Cricetulus griseus: one gene and its partner. The main gene of each other region encodes a partner of the protein of the gene in region 2 in a complex. Links are inferred from orthologs where the notes say so. Each region holds a gene or a part of one and is shown on either strand. Other genes may lie near its edges.

Region 1 (3,750 bases), on a different chromosome or scaffold from region 2:
TGGCCTTAAGGAGCTCTTTGGATTCTAGGGAGCCTTTGGGAGGAAGCCTTTGGGAGCTGACTGTCTCACCAAGATGCTCTGATGTATTTATAAACCTCACCCCAGCTGCTGTGCAGGAAAGTACTGGGAACAAAGTGGCACCAGGATCAATATGCACCTGTCTGTGTCTCAAGCAGAAAAATGCACCTGCTGGCTCCCCTCAGTTGTCTGCATGGCATCTTCCAACCTACCTAAGCTAGCATCGTCACTAAAGCTTTATTCTGCAAACCTGACAACCTTATTCCAGGAGTGACTGTGTTCTTTGGGCACCAAAGTTATTAATCAGAGTGATACTTTTATCCTTTTCATTAGAACCCCTGAGTCACCAAATGGACACTTTCTCACTTTGTTTTGTGTTGTACTTAATAACTTACCGGGATGAGATTGGTACAATGGGGAGATATGGGTATTGGAATCACATTTCAAATATCTGAGGTCACAGATATCTGAACCAAACAAATAACTTACAGGATGGGGACTGAAAACAGAAAGACTTTCTGCACTGAAACAAAGGAAGTCTGACAGTGGAGGATGACAAGAAAATGAGCAAGGGACGATGAAATAGATTACCGAAGATAAACAGTTTTAGAACGCATCGAGGAAGTTCCAGGCCACAAGCTTTCTATTTCCTGCACCAAAGCAACTCCTGACTAAATGACACTTGAAAGAACTAGTCCCTGTGGGGGAAAAGAAGTGAACGTCACACTTTTTAAATTCATAATTTCATAAATAAAACCTGTCCCAGTTGGAGAGAGAGCCACGCGGATAGAGATTTTAAAATTCCCTACTCAACAGCGCACCTTCTGGCTACCAGCAGCACCTGGCACACAATAGATACCCAATAAATGCCAATAGCTACAGGTACAAAGAAATGCATGCGTAGGATTACAAAACAAAGTTTGCTCTCTCTTCCAGTGTTTTTCCATATCAAATACGGTGACCTCAAACCATTAACTCTTTGCTTAGATTATGCTATTTCCTAAGTTATTTATGATTTTCTAAAAATTTGGGGAAAGGTGTCTTCAATTCTGGGAAAATCCCACTTAACTACTGTTGTGAGAAAGCACATTTCAGACAGCAGGGAAAGCCCGAAGCTCACCACCACAACACACGGTGAAGTGTCTGGGCCACTGGAGCATAAATTAAAGAGAACTGGCAGAATTGACCGAGTAGAAGAGAGGAGGAAGGGGTGGGGCCAGACTGATGGGGTTTAAAAGCTGAAACGCTTCAGAGACCAAGACACTGAACAAGACAGCTCCAGCAAGAGCTCACTGTAGCCCTCTTAAGATACACCAGAGAAGCCAGGGAATTTTGAGAAGAAAAAAAGAAGATGAATTCTGAAGAGGGCTCTGTAACAGAGAACAGCTCTTCACATCTGGAGAGAGGGGAGAGGGGTAAGTCTTGTGATTTCTTACATTCTGGTATGATCTCTATGTCTGGTGAATGGAAGAGAGTGCAGAATGGACAGATATCTTTGGAGGACTTGGTTAGGTTCTATTTCAGTTGGGAAAAGAGAGACTGGCCGTAGGTAAATACCAGAGAGGGAGCTATATGAGTTTCAGAGGATCTTTAGATGACTTTTCCTTCGAATCAATTACATCATTTCAACTATCAAATTTAAATGGAAAATTCTCTGCCTTATCCTACTTACTTGCTTTCATTTTCCCATAACCATCTGTGCATAATTCAGGAGGTCTTAACCCTCTTTATGAAGAGCTCCTTTTCATATGAACAGTTATGTTCTTGGTCTTTCCTTGTATGTTGTCCTGCTTTCTGTGTGTCTTGCTTCTTCAGTGCTCCCATCACAAATCCTTCAGTGGGCAGAAGCACACAGATCTCCAGTCTAAGAGAAAACAGCTATACACACACATAAACATTCACAGTGTGTCTCGTGATGACCTATTGGGATGTAGCCCTTCCTTTCTTTAAAATGTCATCTTCTGCCATGATCTCTTTGGAACACCTTCTTTCCATTTTATCCTATTTCTGTCCTCCAATGGCTCATTTCAAATTCTATAACAACTATATGTTTTTTCTTCGTTTTTGTTGTTGTTGTTGTTGTTTCTCAAGACAGCGTTTCTCTGTGTAGCTTTGATGTTTTTCTTCATTTTTATCCAAACATGATCACTCTGCACATTTCCCTGTGTCTGTTCTACACACATTATTCTTCCTATTGTCAGAATTCCCCCATGCTGTTTCTGAGAGATGAGGAGCCCTCAAGCTCTTAGCACTTGGGAACTAGAGTGATTGTAAGTAAGAGCTCTGCAGTTAATAATGGAATGTGCTAGACCCAACACAGCTGGGACCGTTGGTGATGAGGGAGATATTTTATGAGTGTTTCATTGTCAGGTTGGTTTATTATAAAAAAAAAAGCCTCCATCACCTTTAAAAACCCATCCCTTATTTGAGATCATGAAATCAAGTACAGACAAATAGTTTGCAATATTCATTTTTATAGACCTAAGTCACCCATACCTGTATGTCTCACTTAAAATGAAAAAAAAGTATAACAAATAATAATGAAACTATAATCAATAGTGGAATGAAGGAAGGGGCTAATGCAGAAAATCCCATTCTGGTCTAGGATTAGACCCATCTACCCTTCTATGTTTAGCCTATGCTCTCATTGTCATAACCGTAATCGTAAAGGAATCAGCAGGCTCCTCTTGGGTAACTGAAAGGTGATAAATAGGTGGATCTGTTTTCAACCTCTACAATAAGTCACAGGCCTCAGACGTGTGCTGTTACGGGGGAATGTTTTGTTGCCTAGGTGACAGGTTGAGCTGTGGTTAGCCGTGACCCCCAGTGATGGAAATAAAGTGTCACGTGGGAGCTTGTCTCCACACTCTGTCCACCAGGTGGGTCGATGTGTTGAGCTTGCTGATATCTAGGTGTTGTTTTGGATGTAGATGTGTTTTCTGTGGAGCTAGAGTTATTGACAAATGGAGTACGAACAGTGTGACTGACTACCATATGTGGAGAAGTGAAACTAGACCCATCTCTGGACTTGTTATCAGCCTGCCAAAGACTACCTCTGAAGATAAGTCTGTAGGTGTAAAAAGGGAGGCAGGGGAAAAAACAGATCCTGGCAGGATTGATAAAGTCTTCTCTTAGAAAATCTGAAAATGGACTCTAACCAAGAAAAAGAAAAAGGAAAACCTCTAGGAAATGCATGGGTTGGTGATATTAGTTAGACTGTGCCTTCTCTGCAACTTTACCTGTAATGAGATGTTTTAAGAAAAAGAAAAAAAAGAATTCACAAATTCCAAGATACAGTCTACAGAATGATTCTTTTAGTTATAAAAAGTCATCCACATTGAAAAGTTATATGCTATAATGAGAAAAATCATTTGGGACAAGTTCTCAACTTGCAGCCAAAACCAGCTGCAAGCTCACTGACCCCCTACTTGTTGGGATTACAACAGTGGAGACAGATTGTCACTGCCAGTTATAATGTCATTCATGGAGCCATTTCACACTGTAGCTTCTGTGAACATTTTTAAATCTAATTTGGGAACTTATAAGGGCATTCTTGTGGGGCCACACTGTGTTGAATGTTGAGGGTCATCCTACAAAAAACAAATCAAAATCTGAAGCCAAAAATGACTTCTCCCTCTGTCTACTTATCTAACATGCTAGAACAGACATATTCCTACCTATGCAAATCCTGACAAAGAAACGTTTCTTTTGTGTTGTTGTTGTCATCTTGTT
Region 2 (3,710 bases):
TTGAAGTTTCTCTTCCTGAAAAAGCTAGAGTGGTTTCTAAACAAACCACATTTTCCATACCCTACGTAGCTTATCAAGGTAAAAGCTTTTAAAGAGTACCACAAATTTGCTCTTAACTTTAACTCCAAGAACCACACAATCAACAGATATCTCCGTGAATGACTTTTTAAAAAAGTTCTCTTCACAAAAGGATCTTTAAAAAAATCAGTTTATTAATGTTTAAAAGTTGATAAAGCTATGTGCAAAATGATCCACAAAAGTCAGAAACCTATTAAATACTATTTTTAAAAAGACATTTCTTTGTTTAATTGCACTGAAAACCATACTAAAGAGACAGTAATATATTTTTATTCTCTGTAACATTTACACCCTCCATCAATATCTAATGACAGCCGAAATGAAGAATTCCTGATGCCCCCTGTCAGTTAAAGTAATGCTTTTCGGGTACAAAAGGGTGACACTTTTTTAAGGACTACACATTCAATGGTGTTAACACAGGTTAGGAAAAAACTCTCAATAAGATGGCCTCAAAGAAGCAAATACATTCAAAAATCATAAATTGTATTTTAAACAAGATACAACCATCCCCCAGTTGTTTGAAATGGATCACACAACACTCTGAAATAATCAATAAAAGTGCCAAAAACATTGTGTTTGTTAGAGGAAAGACATCAAGAAGTCACTCTTGGTTTCTGAAAGTTAATCCCGCAGTTCACCGTATTCTGTTTTTCTCCTGTTTCTTCTACAATCCTACCTGACATAATTCAAATAAAGTAGACTTCATTATTCCCATTACAAACACATGTCCATTGTAGTTGTAATGGGAATAAGGAATGCATGAGGAATAGAGAACACACCTAAGATCATGGCTGGTATAATTCAGATAAAGTAGACTTCGTTATTTCCATTACAAACACATATCCATTGTGATTGTAATGGGAATAAGGCATTCCTGTGAGGAATAAAGAAAACATTTTCATACTAAAGACAGCCTAGCAAATCACCAACAACTTGACGCATCGTACATGGACACTTTGGCCTCAGCAAATAGCCTTCCGAGTTAACAGCCTGTCAGTTTCAGACAATCAAGAAATAGAGCCCCGTATAACCTCCTTCTGACGAACAGACAGTTAAGATATAAAATTAGAGAATATGGAGAGGAGGTGGGAAGGGGAGGGGAGGTAAGAAGGGGCGGGAGAGTGGGACATGCATACCACCCTACCAAGCTGAAGGACACATACTCACTTTGCCTTTACAGTGAAAGATCACATCGCAAAACTCCAGGGACACTTTCTCATAGGACCTTAGTCTTTGAGAAGGGGTCAGATGATCCCTTCAGGAGCTTGACAATGCTAGACCTTTGGCTCAGTGCAAAATCAAAGCTCCAGGGTATGGGGGAGGGCAGGAAACCCACTGGAGGCCAGACCTAATCTCCACCCTTCCCAGTGTATTGTTCACAAGAACTACCTACCTACATCATGGCATCGCCAGGCCACACACTCTCCCTTCCCTCCCGCTTTCAGGCTCCCGGGAGCTCCTTCTAGGCAGCAAGGGGAACGGGAGCCATTTTTTAAGTTCTGGGGTAGTGGGTGACCAAGTCAGAATGCTTCCCCAGTATCAACAGCTTCCAGTTTTAGGAGGAAGAGTTGATATTTCCAGAGGACATAATGGTCTCTGGGTTGTCCCCATCATCCTTCTGAGGGTGGGAGGAGTTGTCTGATTTGCTGCGGCTAAATTCCATTCCTGGGATGATGGGCCGTTTGAATTTGCCAGTGGAGTCTCCGTTGGGGCATTTGCAACAGGATATGATCCGGATGAAGGCCCTGCGCATCTCCTTGTTGGTCAGCGTGTAAATGATGGGGTTGGTACCTGAGTTCAGCACAGCCAGAACCAGGAAGTACTCTGCTTTGTACAGGATGCTGCAGGTCTTCGCCTTGCAGCCCACATCCAGCAACAGTAGGATGAAGAGAGGGGCCCAGCAGGCAATGAAGACACTCAGGACAATGATGACAGTCTTCAGTAAGGCCAACGACTTCTCCGAACTGCGGCTGGCCTTGGAAATGTTCTTTCGGAAGGTCAGGCGGCGGCTTCGAGTCCTGACCAAGGAGTAGATCCTGCAGTAGAGGATGACGATGGACAGCAGGAGCAGAGTGAAGATGGTGGTGCAGAAGAGAATATAGTGCTTGTGGTAGAGTGGGAGCACGGTGGAGCAGCTGGACAGCGAGCCGATGCAGTTCCAGCCCATGATGGGCAGGCCACCCAGGATGAGGGAGATGACCCAGCAGGCGCTGATCAGCAGGAAGGAACGTGAGCTGTTGCTCCCATTGTGTAGTTTCATCTTCAGCATGGTGATGTAGCGCTCAATGGCAATGGCAAGGAGGCTGAACACCGAGGCAGCCAGAGCCACAAACATACTCCCTTCCCGCACAAACCACTGGGCGGGGGTGAGTTTGTAGGTGGTGGCCCCAGACAACAGCAGGTTAACTATGTAAGCCACTCCTGCGAACAGGTCCGAGAGAGCCAGATTGCCGATGAAATAGTACATGGGCCGATGGAACTTCTTGGTTTTCCAAATAGTTAGCAAGACAAATATATTCTCTAGGATGATGAAGCAGCAAATGAGAATGAAGACCACTGAAGTGAGCTTAATGCCATGGTCCTTCTCTGCCCCGATGTTCAACTTGCCTGTGTAGTTATAATGTCGCACGATAATATCATAGTTGCCATAGTCGGAGACTGAGCTACGAAGGGGCTTAACCACCGGGACGCTGGTGGACACCATAGCCGCAATGTGTCCCCAGGAGACCGGGGTGGTACTTCTCCAGACGAACGCTAGAGGGAGAGGTTGAGCAGTCCTTCAGTTACTGCAGGCTCCGTCAGTGAGCAATCCAAAGCTTTTTGTGTAGCTTTTCTTTGGCTGGAGAGGGCCTCCGAAACAGCAGCAGCCTTAAAGAAGTTACAAAGAAAAGAGAATCAGGGGAAAGGCCCAGCACACTAGAATAATTCATTCTGGCCAAGGGACTGCTCCAGTTTGTTGTTGATTTGTTTTAAGAAATCTTGGCCGGAGGATAGGGAGGATTTTTTAACTCAAATTATCATTTCTAGTAACAAAACAAAATAAACTAGAAAGAGAGAGCAAGACACACACACACAGAGAGAGAGAGAGAGAGAGAGAGAGAAAGAGAGAGAGAGAGAGAGAGAGAGAGAGAGAGAGAGGTGAAGTAGAAAGAGAGGGAGAAAACAACAACAACAAAAAACTGAGGGCAAACTTCCCTCTGGTCACTAAATCCACAAAGCTGGAATGGGAAACACTGTCCCTTTCTAGTTTTCAGCCCCTCACCATTTCCCCTGGCATTGCCACCTTCAGCTTCCAACCCTGAGATTCCTGTAAGTGGTCACCAGCTCAGGCACTTGGTCACCACCAGCCCTAGGGCCTCTTCTCACAGAAGGCCCCAACTGCCAATTCTGAGTGCAGTGCTGACATGTACTCGCCTGCCCTCCCCCCTCTACAGGCACACACACACACACACACACAGAGAGAGAGAGAGAGAGAGAGAGAGAGAGAGAGAGAGAGAGAGCTCATAGAGACCAGCCCACCTCCTAATTACCATGCAAGAAAGTAGATTTGCGGGAGGGTCATTTAACAAAGTAAGTCTTCTGGGCTCTATTAATAACTCCCTAGAAGCAGGTGTGCTGAGGGTCGGGGCGGA

The links. The genes of interacting proteins can lie anywhere in the genome.
Region 1: the proteins of S1pr1 (region 2) and early activation antigen CD69 are in contact, whole or in part, in a cryo-EM structure (PDB 8G94), measured with the Homo sapiens proteins. The link is inferred for Cricetulus griseus from reciprocal best matches to the Homo sapiens genes S1PR1 and CD69. Residues at the interface, in NP_001307659.1 of Homo sapiens: Asn157, Leu160, Phe161, Ile164, Ser165, Trp168, Val169, Leu172, Ile173, Gly176, Ile179, Met180, Gly181; in NP_001772.1 of Homo sapiens: Val41, Ala44, Val45, Val48, Val49, Thr52, Ile53, Ile56, Ile59, Ala60, Val63.

Annotation. Positions count from the first base shown.
Region 1 is NC_048601.1:16,772,732-16,776,481, forward strand, and holds the start of early activation antigen CD69, read left to right. Parts: upstream 1-1,369; coding exon 1,370-1,433; intron 1,434-3,750. UniProt on the Homo sapiens protein: Transmembrane protein expressed mainly on T-cells resident in mucosa that plays an essential role in immune cell homeostasis.
Region 2 is NW_023276806.1:42,535,170-42,538,879, reverse strand, and holds S1pr1 (sphingosine 1-phosphate receptor 1), read right to left. Parts: upstream 2,818-3,710; 5' UTR 2,783-2,817; coding exon 1,634-2,782; 3' UTR 193-1,633; downstream 1-192.